Caenorhabditis elegans: one gene and its partners. The protein of the gene in region 1 interacts with the protein of each later gene in a pairwise test. Each region holds a gene or a part of one and is shown on either strand. Other genes may lie near its edges.

What was found. Proteins that work in one complex are often made in the same cells at the same time.
Region 2: the proteins of unc-11 (region 1) and eya-1 interact in binary tests that used the Caenorhabditis elegans proteins (3 or more experiments, as listed by UniProt).
Region 3: the proteins of unc-11 (region 1) and itsn-1 interact in a two-hybrid assay, tested with the Caenorhabditis elegans proteins (3 studies listed by BioGRID).

Annotation. Positions count from the first base shown.
Region 1 is NC_003279.8:3,799,723-3,807,285, forward strand, and holds the start of unc-11 (Phosphatidylinositol-binding clathrin assembly protein unc-11), read right to left. Parts: upstream 6,018-7,563; 5' UTR 5,983-6,017; coding exon 5,912-5,982; intron 5,776-5,911; coding exon 5,672-5,775; intron 5,371-5,671; coding exon 5,057-5,370; intron 4,570-5,056; coding exon 4,294-4,569; intron 3,782-4,293; coding exon 3,289-3,781; intron 2,233-3,288; coding exon 2,113-2,232; intron 1,249-2,112; coding exon 1,087-1,248; intron 558-1,086; coding exon 470-557; intron 311-469; coding exon 159-310; intron 1-158.
Region 2 is NC_003279.8:14,228,327-14,233,277, forward strand, and holds the start of eya-1 (Protein phosphatase eya-1), read right to left. Parts: upstream 3,035-4,951; 5' UTR 2,917-3,034; coding exon 2,899-2,916; intron 2,705-2,898; exon of another isoform or gene 2,663-2,704; intron 776-2,662; exon of another isoform or gene 706-775; intron 1-705. Other genes in the region: clec-114 (PAN-3 domain-containing protein), read right to left, coding at 4,709-4,805. UniProt on the Caenorhabditis elegans protein: Tyrosine protein phosphatase. Acts probably as a transcription regulator in the embryonic and postembryonic development of several tissues including pharynx, vulva and gonads. Required for the development of anterior tissues during late embryogenesis.
Region 3 is NC_003282.8:17,118,038-17,125,715, forward strand, and holds the start of itsn-1 (Intersectin-1), read left to right. Parts: upstream 1-1,644; 5' UTR 1,645-1,646; coding exon 1,647-1,796; intron 1,797-1,847; coding exon 1,848-2,432; intron 2,433-2,915; coding exon 2,916-3,377; intron 3,378-3,524; coding exon 3,525-3,749; intron 3,750-3,789; coding exon 3,790-4,426; intron 4,427-5,207; coding exon 5,208-5,578; intron 5,579-6,164; coding exon 6,165-6,481; intron 6,482-7,381; coding exon 7,382-7,678. Other genes in the region: uaf-2 (Splicing factor U2AF 35 kDa subunit), read right to left, coding at 28-362, 414-506.

The DNA of each region.
Region 1 (7,563 bases):
AGCATATTTCGAAAATGAAGCAAAAATTAACAAAAAATGCTTCAAAATCGATTTTCACATTTAAAATAATCTTGAAATATTGTGAAAAATTAGATAAAAATTCAATTGTTCCGAGATTCTAATTTTAAAAAAATTCCTCGTTTTTTCGATAAACTAACCCATCGCAGGATTCCACATTGGCTGAGCACCAAATGGTTGTTGATACATTCCCATTGGAGCCGTATACATTGGCTGAGGAGCCGACGTTGCTCCAAACGGATTGTTTGAGACGGCAGAAGTTGTGGTATTCCAGCCGGCCGGTGCTCTGTAACTAAGATATTTTTAGGCAAGATTTTTCGATTTTCTTTAGAAATTGTGAAATTTTGTAAAAGGTAATATGTATAATCTAGCCCTAGTGGTTCGTTCGTGTCGTGAGTCACGAAAAAAATTGCAACAAAAATTGCATTAAAATTGACAAAAATAATCCTACCCCTGCTGATTCAATGACATTTGTGCAGTCATTCGAGCAAGATCATCTGGATGAGCATTTGGATATCCGAATGGAGCAGCTTGATGACCTGGAATTAATATTTTAATTTTTACATTTTTTTGTTCAAATTTGAAGTCATCTGAAATGTGGGGTGGTTATGAAAAACTGTAAAACTGTATTAATGTTGAAGTAGAGTTAATGAGTTTTTTTTTGCGGAAATAGACTGAAACTTCTCAAAAATTTACTTTTCTCGTTAAAATTTAAAATTTCCCAGAATCGTTTCATTCGGCTGGAATACAATTTTTAAATGAAAAATCTCCCTCTATTGCATATTTCGGACGGTTCAAACTCCCAAAACATGCGATGAAAGATGATTTTTCAATAAAAATGTATTCCAGCTGCTACGACTGAAACAAATCTGAGAAATTTCAAATTTTAACGAAACTTGGCTCTTTTTTCTGTAAATTTATAAATTTTTGGAGAAGTCTCGATGCTAAATTTGGTCGCGTCGGACCAGTTTTAGTATATTTCAGAAAAAATTCCCTTTTGTTATAAAAAAAGAAAGCCGTGTATTTTTAGCAACAAATCGAAAGGTAAGTAAGTGTGAGTTAATTCACCTGGATCCCCAAACGGTTGTGCTGAAGAAGCAGCAGTAGCTGAAGGATCAGCAAAAGGATTGATAGGAGCTGGAGCCCCCTGAGATGCTGGTGGTGGTGGGACGGGCGGCGCATTGTGCATTTGTGGTGCCGCGGGAGCAGTTATAAATGGGTTTTCGGGCTCTTAAATTGCCACACTTTCTATTTGGTATATTTCTAATTTCCAGAGGTACAACGAGAAGATGACGACGTCAAGACGGAGGAGAAAATATTCAGAACCACCAAAACATGCTTTTTAAAAGTTATTTTAAAAGAAGAAGCCAAAATTGAAAAATCCCGGAAAAAAATAAATTGAGAATTTTTGTTTAGAGGTTGAAAATCGAAAATTTCGGTTTTTAGAATTTTTTAAAAGCGCTTTTCTAAAAAATTTAAATCGAAAAGATAATTTTTTAAACGTTTTTTGGCGTTTTCAGAGGCACATTGGAAATATTTTTTTAAAGATTGAAAAACGTAAAATTTCAATTTTTGATATTATAGTATACGTTTTTTTAAGAGAAAATTTAAATGTTTAATTTGAAAAAATCTAAAACTTTCGAGTTTTTAACAACTTTTTGGAGTATTTTAGAGGAAAAATAAATGAATTATCCGATTTTTTGATATTTTTTTTTAATTTTTGAAAAATTCCTAGGTAAATATAGAAATATCGAAAATTGAATTTTATGTAAAAAAAAATTTTTTTTTCAAAATTTATTAAAGTGTCAATTTACAATTTTCAACAAAAAAATTCCGCCTATAATATTTTTTTTATAAAATATAGAAAAAACGACAATTTTCGTTTTCTAATTTTTCGGAAATATTTTCGACTTTCCCCGATTTTTTAAAAATCTTTTTTTCTTATTTTTACCGATATTTCAGCGCATTTTTAATAATTTTTTCGATTAATTTTTTATTTTTTTCCCCAATTATTAAGTTAAAAAATTATTATTTTCCAAGCAAAAAAAACCACACATGCAAATCAACACACACACACACAACGCCACAACTCACCATTTGGAGCTTGCGATTGCATTGGAGGAGCTTGATGAAGGTTCGCATAGAATGGTGCAGCTGAATGTTGCGGTGCTGGTTGAACTCCAAATGGAGCCGAGTGTGCTGCTGGTGGTGGCACTAAAACATAGGTGAAATGAAAAAAAAAACAAAGGAAGATTTGAGAGAAACATAGATTGTGGAAACAAAGGGTTAAATGTTAGTGAAGCAATTAAATTTTAAGGCGAAATATTTTTTTCTGATTTTTTAAAAATATTCAAAATTACCAACAAAAAAAAAGAATTTCATAACGAGACATTTCAAAAAATTATTTATTTTCATGACTGTTCAAAATAGCTTAATTTCAGCTAAAATCCCCGATTTTTCAAGCCTATTCTGCATATTTTTCATCGATTTAGGTACATTAAACGAAATTTAGCAGCCATCGGCTTAAAATGAGGCTAAATTAACGGAAAAACCGTAGGATAAGTGACAAAAGTAACCGAAATGGAGAAATAATCAAATAAAAATTAATTTCCGGCCGCAGAAGCACATGAAAGTTGGCATGATTAGGAAGAAAATTGAAAAAAAAACGAAAATCGGAAATTTTTCGATTTTTCAGATTTTTTTTGTTTTTTTTTAAATCAACATAAAAAATTTTATAAAAACAAATTGTTTTGTAAATTTTAAAAACATTTTTTCGATTTTCTCTGGAAACATTTTTTTAAAAGAACGAGAGAAAAAAAATTCGATATGAGAGAGAAAAAAATTTCGATATTTCGATTTTTTTTCTACTTTTTCGAAAAAATCTTAAATTTTGGCGATTTTTCATATTTTCAGAATAAAAATAGATGTTTTTGAAATGGTTTTTACAAAGTAACTTGAACAAAATTTTATTAAAAAAAGTTTCTAAATTTTTTTTTGGATTTTTCGATCTTCAATTTTTCAATTTTCCCTGAAAACCGTAAAAAAAATTTATCGTAAAGTAGTCTAAAATTTTGGCAATTTTTATTCTTTTTAGAAGACAATTATGTTTTTTTTTTAACCAGCATAATTTTATTTAAAAAATATTTTTTTTTCAATTTTTCAATTTTCCTATGGCATAAAAAATTTTGTTAAATTTTTTGAAAAGTCTCCTTATGAAATTCGATCTTTTTCTGAGGCCAATTCCTTTAATTTCGGAAAATTTCAACGTACCATTCGTTGGGAAGGCACTTGGAGCTGCAAAGTTCCCAAATGGATTCGTCACATCAGCCGTTTGAGGAGCTGGAGCTGCCGATGATTGGAACATATCCAAAAGATCCGGCTGAGCAGCTGATGTAGCTGGAGCAGGTGCAGCCGAAGCGACATCATTTGCGAATGGATTTGCAGAATTAATCGATTTCTTCTGATCTTCAAACTGTCTCAATCTCTCTTGTTCCAACTCAATATACCGTTGTCGTTCAGCGTCACCAAGTGCCGGTTGTGGTTGTTGAGAAAATGCGAATCCAGTGGTGAATTGATGTGGTGCAACATGTTGTTGAGTTGGTGGTGGAGCTTTTCCTCCTTCGAGATGGATGAGATGAGCTTCAAGTGCTTCGAGAAGACTCGCTGGAGCACGTGTCAAATCTGGAATCTCTCCACGGTCGATTCCGACGGATTCGGCGACGCGAAGGAATTCGGCAACTTTGTCGAGTCGGGTGAGGAAGGACTGCAAAATTTTTGAAAATTATTAGTTTTTAGGGAAATGAAATTTTTAATATTTTTGTGTTCTTCTTAATTTTTGACATCGAAGCTTCTTAAATTGAAAAAAAAAAAAAAATCTGCATAAAATCCGAAAATTAAAAAATCAAAAAGCCAGATTTTATTTTACAAAATTGAAAAAAATATCATAAAAATTTTTAACCGATTTTTCCGATTAAATCGGTTTTTTGTAACTTTCTGAAATGTTCAATTTTTTTTATTTTGAAAAAAAACATTAGAAAAATCTGAATTATTTTTTAATTCCCGCGCAAACAGGATATATTTTTTATAATTGAATTTAAGAATCATTTATCAAATTTTCATAACTTTTTCCCGCAAAAAAAAAACTAAAATCTGCATAAAATTCGAAAATTCAAAGTTTATGTAAACTTGTTGTGCTGAAAATGTCTGAAAATTTGGAAAATTAAGTTTCAAAGACCTCTTTTTTTTTTTAAATTGAAAAAAAAAGTATTTTTTTACCTTATAAGTATCCAAAGCATCACGACACTGCTTCTTGTTCATATCAAAGTACTTTTCAAGCACATTAATAATTCCATCATTATAACAAGCAAATAATCGAATCAAATCACGGAAAAGAAGAATAAATGAGCAATTGATAACTCCATTATTCAGCTCTGAAGTGGTCACTGAAAACTCCAAAAGTGCATCGATTTGATTTTGAAGAATTGGAATTGTTTTGAGCAACTTGTCAGTGTGCATTGTACGCAAAAGCCCATCTTCACGACCGCGTTTCACCTGAAAATTTCATATTTCGTCAATTAGTAGAGTCAAAAAAAAATTGCTTTAAATAACTGTTAAAAAATTTATAACATTTTTGATGATTTTTTTCAAGTTTGCAAAAAATCTTTTTGAATTCCCGCGTTTTTTGCAATGCTGATTGGGTTTTCATGATTTAAAAAAAATTTGATATGAAAAACAGCTTGTAAATTTTCAGACAAATTTAATTGATAAAAACTATATTATCAGAAAGAAAAATATCAAAAGGCCTAAAAATCGATAATTTCACATTTTTAAAGGAAAATTTTTTGAAACACTGACAATAAAAGCAATACCAAGATTTTAAATTAAAATAATTATCGTTTTTTTTTTTTCAATTTTTGCAAAATTATAATTTTTACAGTTATATTCGATCTATATTCTGCCATTTAAAGCCACAAATTTACTTTATTTACTTAGCTTTTAATTTTTTTTTTGAATTTAGAGAATATATTCTCCAACATACCTTGCAGAAATCAAATGCACACATTCGATAAGTATTAATCTTCTCGCCAATGTACTTTGCGTACCGTCTGACATGTGTAGACATATCATATCCGCCGGCGCCTCCAACCTTATCCACGAACGCGGTCAAATTGAAAGTCGTGTTACATGAGGCTAGATATTGCGAAAATCGCTCATTTCCGTAGCACATAATGTTGTGAATTGTGATGAGAGCCTTGTAAACGACGGTCCAATTTGGATTTTGAGTCCGTTCGATTAGAAGATTGGCCATTGATGGAATCGAAACATTTGGCTCATTTGTGCAGTGAAGGAGGTCTGGAATTATATTCGTATACTCAACCTGTGGCAAAAAAAACTAATTTCGAGAGCTAATTTCAGCGAAAAATTTCCTAATTGCCTACTTTGCAGCTGCTGGAAATTGAATTTTACATAATGTTTGATTTATTTTGCAACCAAATTTAGCTCTAAATGTGGCTAAATCAACAAAATTAAGTGAAAAATCAGCAAATTTAAGCGACAAACTCAAACCAGGACAATAATTAATTAAAAATCAATTTTCCCACAGCTGTGACATGCAGAATTTCAGATTTTTGCTTTAAAAAAATCAAGAACTAACAATCCAAATGCTTTTTCTTCGGGGCCATAACTTCTTCGGTAGTCGCCTTGCATATTGTCTTGCCAAGTTGGCTTCCAGCCAAAGAGTGCTTTGCAGCTGTCAATCTGAAAATTATTTTATACATTTTAACACTGATTTTTTGAAATTTTTGAAAACATACACTTTTATTTTGAATTTAGAACAATTTTGTTCTTGAAAATTCGAACTTAAAACAAGAAATCGAAAAGAAAAATCGCTTACCGGTCTGAAATAGTCTGCCCGCCGGTTGTGAAAGGCATCGGTTGATGCAGCGCTTTCTCGATAGTCTGCATGTCGAGCAGCAAGGGGGGTTGGCGTCGGTCTACCTGCAGTAAGCAAACAAAATCAGGTGCATTCAATGCGTCAGCAGTTACGGAAGAACGTGAAAGTGATCAGGTAAATTGGGGGAAACGGAGAGATGCAGGAACCACAATCACAAAAGAGTTTGGCAATTTTATTGATTTTTGTGCCAAAGAACATTTCCAAACACATCGTTTTGTGCCGTTTTTCGAGTGGAAATTGATGTGAATTTGTGTGATTGACAGTTCTTTCTTTTTTCGAAACATATTCAATCAAAAACTGAATTGATTTCCTTGTTTTTGGAAAAAATGACGAAAAAATAAAATCTCTGAAAGTTAAAAAAAAGCGCTTACAAACACTCGTCGAGGCCTGCGCCTTTAAATGTAACTACGGTATTCGTGGTGAGACTCAAGGAATGAATTAACCGCTTGCGCCTTCAGATGAAGTACGGTATTTACAATTATTGATTAAAAATGATCATTTTCTATTTTTGAGCCATTTCTTTTTTGGCTCTGAAGAATAAAAGTGCAAGTTAAATTGTTTTTTTTTTCAAAAAAATAAATACAAATAAAAATTCCAATTCTGAATCATCAATTCTTTTTCAAATTTTTCTCATTTCCGCAGGGATTTGCCAAAAAAGAGAGAGAGATTTCGAAACATAAATTTATGTTGCGATCAAGTTCAACAAAAGATTAAACTGGAAAGCACAAAAATAAACGTCATTTCATACATTTTATCAGAACTTTTCCTCAAAAATGCCAAAACTGCCAAATAAAAGGAGCTGTGTGTGGGGGTATGGCCCCTCCGAAAAAAGTAGACAGCGTAAAATGAGAAGAAGAAGCTGTGCAAGCGTGTGGCAGAAAAGAAGAGGACGAAAAAGAAGAAGAAGTTGTGTTGGCGACGAGGCTTCGACGAACCAGCGAAAATCGATGGAGACAAGTAGAGGAGTGAGGGTGTCCGCAGCCAGTGTCGCCGCGCAGTAGCCTCTTCTCTCTCTCACTTTTTCTCGGGAAAACCGGGAATCTGGATGAAAGATAGTGGATAGGACGGAGAGACACAGACACACCAAATGGTGAGGACGAGAAGGATGACGCCATCGGGGGATTCAATGCAAAAAAGAAGAGGTGGTTGGCACATAAATTGTATGGAAAGAATACTATAAACATTAACATTTTAATGAAAATGATACCTATCGAGCGAGAGTCAACTGAAAAGTTAGAGTTTTAGACGGTTAGACAGATAAATAAACACTGGATCTATTGACAATGAGTTTTTATTTTTATTGTTATGAAAATTCAGCATTCTTGGATATTACGGGAAAACAAAATTTTGAGAATGCGTATTGCGCAACATATTTGACGCGTAAAATATCTCGTAGCGAAAACTACAGTAATTCTTTGAATGAGTACTGTAGCGCTTGTGTCGATTTACGGGGCTCGTTTTTCCTACGTTTCTTCGTGATATTTTCTCTTTTTTTTCTTACATTAATTTTGATATTTTATCGTTAAATAAATTATTTTAAAAATCGAGCCCGTAAATCGACACAAGCGCTACAGTACTCATTTAAAGAATTA
Region 2 (4,951 bases), about 10 Mb from region 1:
TTTTCTTGTAATTTGGATCAAGGGTGTCGGTTTTTCGATTTTTCCAGAAAATCGAAAAATTAAAAATTTTCGATTTTTCGTTTTTTCAAATTCGAAAAATCGAAAATTTTTCGTTTTTCGATTTTCCGAAAAAAACGAAAAATCGAAAATCGAAAAATTTTTCGATTTTTGAAATAAACTTACAAAACAGCTGATAATGTTTTATTTTTGAACCTTTTCGTTGTAGGAGGTTGTAAATATCTATTCAAAAAGGGTTCCCCCACAGGGAAGGATAATCAAAACAGTAAATTTTCACTGAAAAACATCGAAAAATCGAAAAATCGAAAAAATCAAAAAAATCGAAAAATCGAAAAATGACACCCTTGATTCGGATGTACATTAAGCCTAGAATACCCTAAAAATGAGGCTAATATACTGAAAAAAAAAACTTAACAAAATAATTGAAAATCAGCAAAAATCCCTCATTTTTAAAAATTTTCAGAAAAGTTGTCCAAATGGCTCTGTGCGATTTTCAGCGGCTACCAAAGTTACAACCAGGGCTCGAACCCCCGCTGTGGCATATATTTTTATTTAGGTGTTTTTATACTAAACCGGGGAATTTTTTATCAAATCTTGAAATGCTCACTGAGCCCAGGATATTTTAAAAACCAGCTCAAAATTTGGAGAAATTGCCTACAAACCAACAAAAACCCTCGATTTTCAAAATTTTCAAAAAAATTGACCGTATGGCTCAGTGGGATTCTCGGCGTCTACCAATCTCACGGCCCGGGTTCGAACCCCCGCTGTGGCATATATTTTTTCTTTTTCTTTTTCAATGCTTTTACAGACTTCTGAACCCCATCAGGACCCCTCCAAAGCTTGCGAATTTCCGTTCTCAGGAATAATGACGAAACCCGAGCCACCACTCCATTTACATACAGCTCTCAGCTTCTTCTTCCCTCACTACTTTCAAGGCGTCGGACGGGGTGCTTCACAAACAATGCCATCTGTATTTGTTTGCTCGGCGAGCAGTAGCACAGGAGCTTTACATATGTCGCTGTTGTTCAAATACACGGTAGTGGAGGTGATAACTAGGCCGGGGGGCAGTGAAGTAATGAGTGAAAAAATTAAAATTTTGATAAAAACCGGCCAAAAAAATTTGACTTGAATCAATCCCGGAGGGTTCCCCAAAAGCCCTAAAACTTAGTAAGAGCCCGGTGCGGAAAAAAGGTATAAGGGTATCTAGTTTCAAGTGACCGCCGGCGAACAGGTAAGAAAAGAGCCGCGGGAGTTTTCTCAGAGCTCCCCGCCACCAAACAGGTGTTGCGATTTCTACCATAACTCGGTGGAGAGCATAGTTCGAGGAAAGTTGTCAACTAGCAAAATATTACTTGGAAAATTTCCTACAATTTTGTGGTTGGAAACTTTTTTCTTGCTATTCTAGTTTTAAAGTTACGAGGGTTTTAAAAATTTAAAAATAAGCGCCAGGAAATTTTCAAACTCATCTCTTATGCTCATTGAGCCATTTTCTGACTCGTGACTAAAATTTTCGACATGCCTATACCCAAATTAGTCTAAAACACCAAAAAAAAAAAATTAAGCCACAGCGCGGACTCGAACCCGGTCTTCTGCTTGGAAGCCCACCAAAATCCCACTGAGCCACTTGCACCAAATTTTCGAAATTTTATTTTTGGATTTTTTACTGCTTTGCCACAGAAATTGTGCATCGAAGAGCCCCAAGACCTCTGAATTCGATCCCGTCACCACAGGGGGTCCCCCCAACTGTTGCAAGTTGGCTAATGATGGCTATATAATGATGTAATATGGTTGCGTGAGGGGGTATCTAGACTCAACTGGGTATTGGAAAAAGACTAAGGGGTGCCTAAAATCAACTAGTCGCATAAATTGACCAAAAAAAAAATCCAAAATTTACAATAGGGATGTACATCATAATTTTTGATAATTTTTCTGATTAATGTCAGTTTAAAAGGCGATTCGGAGCAAGTTCCTAGTTAAAAATGTATCTTTTTGGAAAAATAGTGAAAATCAAAAATAAGTGTGCTCATTGAGCACCAGGTGACCCAGACATTTGTTTACGTGGATTATAAACTTCGCTAATTATTGATTTGTTTATTTTTCCGAGTTGCAACAAAGTTCGGAATTTTCTACTAAAAAACTTCAACCTAGAAGTTTAAAAGATAGAAATTTGAACTCAGCGCACTCAAATTAATCTAGAAACAGTAAAATGAAAAAATTGTGCCACAGTGCGGACTCGAACCCCGGTCGTCAGATTGGAAGTCATCCGAAATCCCACTGCGCCACTTGGACCAAATTTTCGAAATTGCGAAAAATGAAGAGTAAAAGCTCTGAAAAAAGTTTATTTCAGCTTAAAAATCTACATTTTTATCTGAAACCCCAACCCCGTACCATTAAAATTCGCAGTTCTACTCGTTTTGAGCTCCGAGAGCTTTTTTTCTGGGTTACAAGGAAATTAAAGCCAAGAATCATTTATATAGCTCATCCACACAAAAACAAAAATAAATGCTACAGCGGGGACTCGAACCCCGGGCTTCTGCTCGGAAGCTGTCCAAAAACCCACTGCGCCATTCAGGAACATTTTTAAGATTAGAAATATCGATTTTTCGAGTTTTTTAAATTAAAGTTCACGGTTTAGAAAACTCACAAAATACAGAGAACATTGTAGGAGAGGTTAGCTAGAACTGTCTAGGTACTGAATGGGGAAAGGAGGTACATGGAGGGGGGGGGGGGGGGGGGGGGGGGGGTGTCTTGGAAGAGCTCATCTTACAGACAGACCCTTCTCGCAGAACTTTCTCCAGTTTCATCACCATGCCGATATTTGATACTTTTGGGATGGGGTACCGGGCGCCCGGGGGCGCCCTGAAGCGACATATAACTCACCTCAGAATCTGGAAGCATTTTTTTTTTGATTCAGGAATTGCGAACAATTTCAGATATATAGATTTGGAAATTGTTGAGCAAAAATTTGAGCAACTGGCACGCAGAAGCAGGGAGAGACTGACTCTGATGTATTTGTGTGTGTGTGTGTGCTCTCGTTTTCTCTGCCGGCTCTCTGAGCTCTCGGAGCTCTCACCCCTGAGCTACCGTATGTCTGAGCCAGTCGGCTGTCTGCTCGGAGCTCCGCCTTTTGGTGGAAAATCGCATTATTTTCGGATTCTGAAAAATTAATTTTGAAAAAAAAGTTTTGTACGAGTGACTCAGTGGGATTTTGGAGGGCTACCAATCTGACGACCGGGGTTCGACTCCGCACTGTGGCATAATTTTTTTTCTTTGTTGGTTCGACTATATAAGCCCTGCTGAACACGAATTTTTAACATACAAATTTTTAACTTTTTATTGAAAATAAACTATCAAGCTTAAATTTTAATAGCTCATTGCACCTAGCACACATGAGACATATGCTGAACAGTCCCAAAAAATGCTCAAAATTTTTAAAAATCAGCTCAAACCTCGATTTTCTGAAAATTTGCTCGAATGGCTCAGTGGGATTTTGGAGGGCTTCCAATCTGACAACCGGGGTTCGAGTCCGCACTGTGTCATAAATTTTTTTATTTATTGGTTTGACTATACAAGCCCTGCTGAACACGGATTTCTGACTTATATACTATTTGTAATAACATTTTCAACATTTTGGGGATATATATATATCCCTTCGAAGCTTGGTCTCCAATAGCTTGAACAACTTTAAAACAAGTTCAAAATTGGAAAAAAAAAATATATCGAAATTGCTGAAAAATCAGCTCAAACCGTAATTTTCAAGTTTTTCTGAAAATTTGGCCGAATGGCTCAGTGGGATTTTGGCCGGCTACCAATCTTACGACCGGGGTTCGAGTCCGCACTGTGGCATGAATTTTTGTTTTGCTGTTCTCAGAATAATACAAATCTCCTGAATTCGAATTTTCAACTCTCAAAACCAGAAAGACTTGCTAGGTCGGCTCAAACTTAATTTCTTTTTGTGTACGAGTGGCTCAGTGGGATTCTAGCCAGCTACCAATCTGAGGTCCGGGGTTCGAGTCCGCGATGTGGCATAATTTTTTTTTTGGTGTTATTCTACTAAATTTCGACTTTCCGAGTTCGAATTCGGTCAAAAATTAGACATTTCCACACTGCTTTGTGATTTTTTCGAACTTTTATACCTTCTCAAAAAATCGATATTATTTGTTGATTTTACCCCCTTCCCTTATTTTCCTCTCATTTCTGAGAGTATAGGGAGATGGGGAGCGTGCGAAAGCGGCGAAGCGATCATATTTCAGTTTTCGGGAGCACAGAGTCGAGACGCTGACTTCAATTTTAGTAGTATATGGGACGAGGGACGATTTTGCAATGGAATATTGATTTTGGAGGAAACCCATTGAGTTTTAAGGCATGGGACCTTGAAATTCGGATTCAGAATGTCGATATTAGCCAAATAACACTAAAACAAAAAAATATGCCAAGGCGCGGACTCGAACCCAGGTGGTGAAATTGGTAGTCACCCAAAATCCCACTGAGCCAGTCGGACAAAAAGTTGAAAAGTTCTAGAAAATATGAAATTTGAATAGCAAAATAAAATTAGAAGTCTTAATAAGAAGTTTTCAATAATTCAGGTACTGCTTTCAAAAATTAGCAGGTCGAATTCGGAAACTCTCGAGAAAAATGCTTCTGTGGGCTTCTCGAACAGTTTATGAACCTGGAAGTTTGAAAAATAAAATTAAAATGTTGAATTTAGACTAGTGGGCTTCACTCCGCAGACGTATCCTTTGTAGCATATATTTGTGGGTACCAGCCCTGCGGTTGACATGTTGCATCTAAAAAATTCGAATATTTGGAAAAAATTGGATTTTTTAAATAAAAAAATTCACAAAAAATGGTCCAACTGGCGCATAGTGAAAGTGTTATATTCCTTCCCTTTCCCAAAAATGTCAATTTTTCGAGAAAAAACATTAAAGCTCAA
Region 3 (7,678 bases), on another chromosome or scaffold:
TCAACACAGCAGCTTCAGCTTACGCACCATCGATTATTCAAATCATTCTTTGCTTTCTCGGCGTCCTCTTCCTTCATAAATTTGACGTATACGTTTCCGACCATGTGTTCTCCGATATTCTCACAAACGTTGATCTCCTCCACTTCTCCATATTTTCGCTCCATCTCCACAAAAACCTCCTCGTAGAAATCGTCAAAATAGCGCTGTTCCTGATCATTCCGCTTGCCGACTTTATCGAAAGCATCCGCCTGACGGACATCCACTACCGGATTGTGGTAGAAGTTTTTGAGCACAACTGTTGGCGAGAATGTCGGTGTATGATGGGCTCTGGAGCATTTGTCTCCGTGGCGGCAGGCTCCTGTCTGCAAAAATTATTTAATTATTGAATTTTTTCACAGAAATCCACAACAAACCTTGAAGAAAAACGAGCAATTGACTTTATCCTTCTCAGTACCATAGATTGAGGCCAGGTACTCGGCTCCGGAGAGCCCGTCACCATACGACATTGGGATTCACTAAAAAAAATGATTTTTGACGAAAAATTCAATTTCAGCGGGAAAACCCTGAGAATTACGATTTTTAAACACAAATTCTGACGGAAATACTTCAGAATACAACGTAAAACTCAAAATATCAAGAATTCAATGCAAAAAACAAACTGCGAACCTGAAACAGATAGAAAATGGAAATAATAACCAACTGCCCTGCTAAATTCGAAAACGCAACGAGGCACGCTTTTGTGGGCGGGGCGAGCGTCGGCAAGGTGAGCGCGCGCGTTTTTCTAGCGTTTTCTCTATTTTTCTTTTTTTCTCCCATGACCAGAGATTAATAAATAAGTTGAAATTTAAGTGAATTTCTCTTCAATTTTCCGCGATTATACCGATTAATTCATGCACCAAGGCTGAAAGAACATTTAAAAATCAATTGGAGCTCAAAATTATTTGGAGAAAACTCAAGAATACGAGATTTTTCACTCTAAAACTAAAATTTGTTCTTAAAATGCAAAGTTTTAAATGAAAAAAAAAACATTGATTTTTTTAAATATATAAAAAAGGGGTTTTTGATTCCTTTAAAATTCTCTGCGTCTCTTGCATCTCTCGCCGCGCGCTCTCGGGGACCACTCCTCTTTTGGGGCACGCAAAAATCGATAAGCTTTCGGCGGCGCTTGGCCTCTTTCTTATTTCTTCTTATTTCTCAGTTCCTGAATCCAAATTTACAGAAATTTCGGCGCATTTTCTCTTTTTGTTGCGAAATTCGCATTTTTAGCGTTTTTAATCGAAAAACCCCCAATTGACAAATCCGTGGGAAGTTTACATAGAAATTTCCAGCTAAATTAGGGAAAAATCACGAATTTTAGCCAAAAAATTACATTTTATTGAGCCGCCTCGCTCGCCGGCCGCGCCGCGCCGCGGCCAATTTTTACAGAAATGGCCGAGAGGGAACCTAGGCCACGGCCACGACCGCGACGCAGCTGGCGAGCGGAGCGGCTCAAAAAAATCTATTGTTTGCCCAAAAACATGTGTTTTTTCATCATTTTCGCTGATTCTTCGCATAAATTTCCAGTTAAATTAGAAAAATATGGCTCGTTTTTTCCCTTTTTTGTTGCGAAATTCCCATTTTTTGTCGAAAAATCCCCTGTTCTCCAGATGACAAATCCTTGGGAAGTTTCCGATGCCGAATATCAGAAGAATTTCGCAATGTTCGGCCAATTAACCGGAGGACAACCGTTTATGGATGCGGTCACTGCACGAAATGCACTAATGCGCAGCAATCTGCCAACGCAAGTGCTTTCTCAGGTTGATATTAAACTTTAAAAAAAAAAATGTTTTTATTCAAACAATTTCCAGATCTGGGCGCTGTCAGACTTGGATAAAGACGGCCGGCTCGATATTCGTGAATACTCTATCGCGATGCGACTTGCTCTGAATTGTCTTGCCGGAATTCCGATTCCTCCGCAACTTCCGCCTTCCCTGCTGGTAGTTCCCGCCAGAAATGCTCCACCAACCTGGCCTGGAAGCCGGCATGGCAGTGTAGACTACTCACAAACTCTTCCACCGGCCATTGATCGTCGAATGTCGCAGTCATACATCCCATCTGCACCGGTTTCGATTGCCGGAACTCCATCTAGCAGACACAACTCGATTTCAGCTGGAAGCCCTTTGAATAATGATCGCAATGTCTTCGAAGGCCGGCAGCTGGAAAACTGGGCGATTCCTCACCACAATAAATTAAAATATTCTCAATTGTTTAATGCTCTCGACAAGGAACGTCTGGGCTCCCTGAGCTCACAAGTCGGACGGAGTGCTCTCGGGCTTTCAGGCCTTCCTACCAATGTTCTCGCGCATATCTGGTTTTTGTCAGATGTGAATAAGGATGGAAAGCTATCAGTGGATGAGTATGCGATTTCTCAGTATATGATTGAAATGTTCAAAGTATGTGTTTTGTTACCGGCCAGAAGCTCTTTATTCAAAAATTGCACTTTTTCCATGAAAATCCAACTTTTCTGATCTAAAATTGATATAAAAATGTAGAAAAAGGTTCTTTCCATCTGAAAATATTGTATTTTTCATGTTTTTTCAACAAAAATAAGGAATATTTTCAATTTTATTTGTCAAAAACTTGGAATTTCAAAATAAAAAGTCAAGCCACGTGGACGCTCCTCCCACTTTGCAACATGCGGCGCGAGTTTTCGCAACACTGCCGCACGGTTGTATTTTCTTCACGAATTATAGTTTTTCAGTGAATTTTACAGGATTTTTCAACGTTTTGCTTGTTTTTTTCAGCAAAATTTCATGTTAAAACGCTGAAAAATCTCAAAATTTCAAATTTTTCTGTACGAAAATCGGAAAATACCCTAAAATCATGAAACACCATAAAAATTTCCGCTGAAAAACTTAAAAAAATTTTTTTTTCAGAGTGGATTCGCGCTTCCAAAAATAACCCCGCTGGAACTTGTCCGGATGTGCGGAATCTCATCAAGATCAGCCAACAATACCCCTGAACTCGAACCAGGAGCGGAGCCACCACAAAAGTCACCAGCTCCGAAAACTTTTGAAGATAAGCGACAGGATAACCTATCTAAAGGTCAGGCAGAACTGGAGAGACGACGTAGAGTTCTTGAAGAAGAGGAGCAACGAAGACGAGCAGAAGTAGAGAAGAAAGAGAGAGAAGAAGAAGCGAAGAAAAATAGAGAAAGACAAGAAAAGGAACGACAGGCTGAAGTTGAGCGGCAAGCTGAACTAGAAAGACAGAGAATAATTGAAGCTCAACGGGAGGAAGAGGAGAAGAAGCGGAGGCTAGAGATGGAGAGACGCAGAGAGGAGGACGAGAAAATGAGAAAAGTTCAAATGGAGAAGGCGAAAGTTAAACAGATGCAGGTACAGATGCCTGAACAGAAAAAATGGAATTTTTATGTGGATTCTAGGCGATTTTTTGAGTTTTTCTTTTGAAAATTGAACTTTTGGAACACAGAAATTTTATTTACTCATGATAAAAAAAAACCAAATTTAAATCCCTAATTTCAGAACCAGAAGCAACAAGAGAACGAGCGTCTTGCACAACGTCAGCAACGAGAAAAAACGCTGCAATTTCAATTACAAGCACTTGATGAGAAGGTTATCGATGTTGAAGTGGACATTGGAAAAGCCAAAGAAGCAGTAGCAGAAGTGACTGGATTTATTGAGAGAATGAGATCTACGAGAGACGAGAAAGTCGCGAGAATTAAAGAATTACAAGAGACTAATCAGAAGGTAATACGCGTTTAATCTATATGCAAATTACCCAAAAAAGTTCCAGACAGCTATCGAATCTCAAGAACTCGGCCATCAGCTTCTACAAAAACAGTCGGCTCACAAGGAGACAACGCAGAGAAAAAGTGAACTAGAAGCACTGCGAAGGAAACGAGATGCTATTCGAAAAGCTATAGAAGATGCCGCTCTGGAATTATCCACAGAAAAAGAGAAATCGTATAATCAGACGGAGATTTTAAAGACGAATAAGGAAAAGTATAAGACTGATGTTTATTCGAAACTTGTCGCAAAACGAGAAGAATATCGAAATTCGTTTGAGCTTCTGGTTCATGCTCAGACACATGCCAGGAGCAAAATTGGGGAATTTGAAGCGAAATCTGCTCCAGCTTCAGCTGCTCCAGCTCCTGCTCCTGCTCCAGCTCCTACTACCACCAACGGATTCCCTGCAAACTTCAACGATGCATTCGGAGAATTCGATAAAACCGATGCAAGTCAACGTTTCGACGCGGATTTCGGTGCCACGTCGACAGCGGATCCATTTGCTCAGATTGCTCAGGCGCCAGCTCATTCGAAGGGTGCTGTTGATCAATCGGCGTTCAATATTCATGACACTTATAAGTGTCGAGCTCTTTTTGCGTTTGAAGCAAGATCCGAGGATGAGCTCAGTTTTGAACCAGGTGCTGTCCGAACAGCAATATGTCCCTTTAAATGGCCTTTTGTTGTGTAGATTTACGAGCTTCTCCGGAAAAAGCTCGAAATTTCGGAATTCGTAGGAGAAAAAGTTTGGCATAAAATTCAGGAATTTTTAAATTTTTCCAAAAAAAAATCTGAAAAATTGCAAAATTCCACTAAAATCAAGGAATTTATCTAAAATTTTTAAGAGTTTTTCCAGAAAAAAAGCCAAAAAAAAAGAAAATTTCAATTTTTTTATTCTTATCTCTCATTTAAAATGACTTATTTAATATTTTTGAAATAGTTGCATGGAAAACAAATTAAATGCATAAAAGATGTGAAAAATTTCAGAAAATTTGAATTTTTTCGAAAAAAAAAACTGAAAAATTGCAAAATTCCACTAAAATCAAGGAATTTTACTCAAAAATTCTCAAACTGAGCTGAAAATGATTCCAAAAATTTTGAAATTTGTAGGAGAAAACGTCCAAAATTCAGGAATTTTTAAATTTTTACGAAAAATTATTGGAAAAAAGAACTATTTTTCCGCAGTTTTTTCAAAAAAATTTTGAAATTTTTCAAAAAGTTTGGATTTTTTCGTTTTTGGCAACAAAAAAAACCATCACTAATCAATGTTTACCTAAAAACCCCGTTTTTGTGAAAAAAAAACCCTTTTTTTCCCAAAAAATACCAATTTTTGTCAGAAAAAACTTAACAAAAAGTGTCATTTTTGACAAAAAAAAGGCAAAAATTCGAGAAAAAGTTAATTTTTATTTATTTTTCTTCTAGGAGACGTCATAATCGTCTTCCAATCCCATGCAGCTGAACCAGGATGGCGTGCCGGTCAACTTCGTGAGAAAGTCGGATGGTTCCCAGAAGCATTCGTCGAAGCAATCGCAGCAGTACCTACTCCAGGCGGTGATCCACCTATTCAGAATATGCCACCAAACATGACGCCGAGCTCATCAGTAGATCAAATTGGAGTGAAAGCGGCGCGGAAAGCGGAAATCGCAGCGGCAATGGGATTGACAGAAGGTGGTGCTCCACCTGCTTCAAGTGCTCCAGCAGCAGCAGCAGTAATATCTCAATGTATTGCACAATTCCAATGGAGAGCACGTAATGAGGAGGATTTGTCATTTGCAAAAGGAGATACAATTGAGGTGGAGAGCATTTTGCTGCGAAAAATCCAAAAATTGTCTGAAATTCTTGAGCTTGAACCTGAAAAAAATGAGATTTTACAAGTTTTCCGGCAGAAAATTTGAAAAATTTGAAGTTTTAAGCCAATTCTTAGGAGTTTTCAGCCTATTTTCCTGCAAAAACAGCTTGAAAATGTGATTTTGACGAATTTTTGAAAAAAAAATTGGATTTTCGGTGAAAAAATCGATTTTTAATCTATCTTTCAGCTAAATTGTATGATTTATAAAATAACCTTTTTTCCCAAAAAAAACCATTTTCCCCATAATAACTCTTTTTTCTAAAAAAAAACCTGTTTTCTACCAAAAAAAAACCCATTTTTATCAACAAAGGAACCCAAATTTTCAACAAAAAAAACCTTTTTTACCCCAAAAAAACCTATTTTTCAGCAAAAAAATGAGCGTGGTTTCTGGGGAATTTTTCCAAAAATTTGAAAAAAAATTTAGGATTTTATTCCCATTTCTTCTTTTCACGATTTTTCTTGAATTTCAGACTATTTTTTTTAGATTTTTGAAGGTACACCTTAACTCGAACTAATAACATTAATTTCAGGTACTAGAAAAGCAAGAAATGAAATGGAAAGGTCGAAATCCTGCCGGCGAAATTGGATGGTTCCCGAAAAGTTATGTGAAAGAAGTCGGAGCAACCACCAGCACCACGACTCCGATTGTGTCTCCTTCGAAGGCTTCTGCAGGAGCTCCAGGAGCAGCAGCAGGAGCTCAATACGACGTGGTACCTTCCGATGTGACATTACAAGCCTCCGAAACAGCCCCCCAACAACAACTTTACACTGTGATCTACGATTTTGAAGCTGTCGAGACAACAGATTTGGCACTGCATGTCGGTGACACAATTCTAGTGCTCGAGAAGTAAGTGGAGAGAGGAGCTCTCGCTGCTCTTGACAGGAGCTCATTTGGAATTGAATTTTTTCATTTTTTTGATAGCTTTTCGTATTCTTGCGCTATTATTATTATGCTTAAACGAAAGGTTTCGGGGTATCAATTTATTACATTTTGAACCAAATAAGCCCAAAATTTTTAAAATAATTGTTTCCAATTTTGCAAGGAAAACCCTATTTTTGGCAAAGTAACCTCAAAAAACTATTTCTTGTCCAAAAAAACCTTTTTTTTTTCAAAAAAGTCTAATTTTTGTCAGAAAAAAATCCAAAAATGTGTCGTTTTGCCAAAAACACCAAAAAAATTCCATTTTTGCAACAAAAACAGCTAAAAAATACATTTTTCCCCAGAAAAAAAATCATAAAACTCAGTTTTGCCAAAAAAAAAAACCAAACACGCGTCATGTTTACCAATAAAACTTTTTTTGTTTTAAACCGATTTTTTCAGAAAAAATCCAAAAGTGTCATTTTTAACATTAAAAAAACCTAAAAAGCTATTTTTTCAAAAAAGGCACAATTTTTCTTACTTTTGCCAAAAATGTGTCATTTTCGTCAAAAAAAACCCTGAAAAAAAAACAATTTCCAAAAAACACAATTTTTACCGAAAAAAAATTAAATTTAAAAACCAAAAAAAGCATATTTTCTCAAAAAAATTAATTTCTCCACAAAATTAAAAAAAAGCCCGACAAAATCCAATTTTTGCAAAAAAAAACCGAAATACTCTTTTTTTTCCAAAAAAACTTCATATTAAAAAAAACCCCAAAAACCCAAAAAACTTGTTTTTTAGCCAAAAAAAAATTACTTAAAAACTGAAAAACTGACACCAAAACAAAAATATCAATTTTCAGTGATTTAAATCAAAAAATAATTTCAGAAACGATGAATGGTGGAAAGGGCGTTGCAACGGACGTGAGGGTATCTTCCCAGCCAACTATGTCGAGATATCAGTCCAGCAGGCAGGGGATCCGACTCCACCAACTCAAGCTCCAACTCCAGCGGCTCCACCAACCGTCCTCTGTGAAGCTAAAGTTGTCGTGGATTTTGTTGCATCGGCGCCAAATCAATTGGGAATCAAAGTTGGCGAAATTGTGAAAATTCGTGAAAAATCAGCAGCCGGCTGGTGGGAAGGCGAGCTGATTCGAAATGGAAAACCAATCGCCGGATGGTTTCC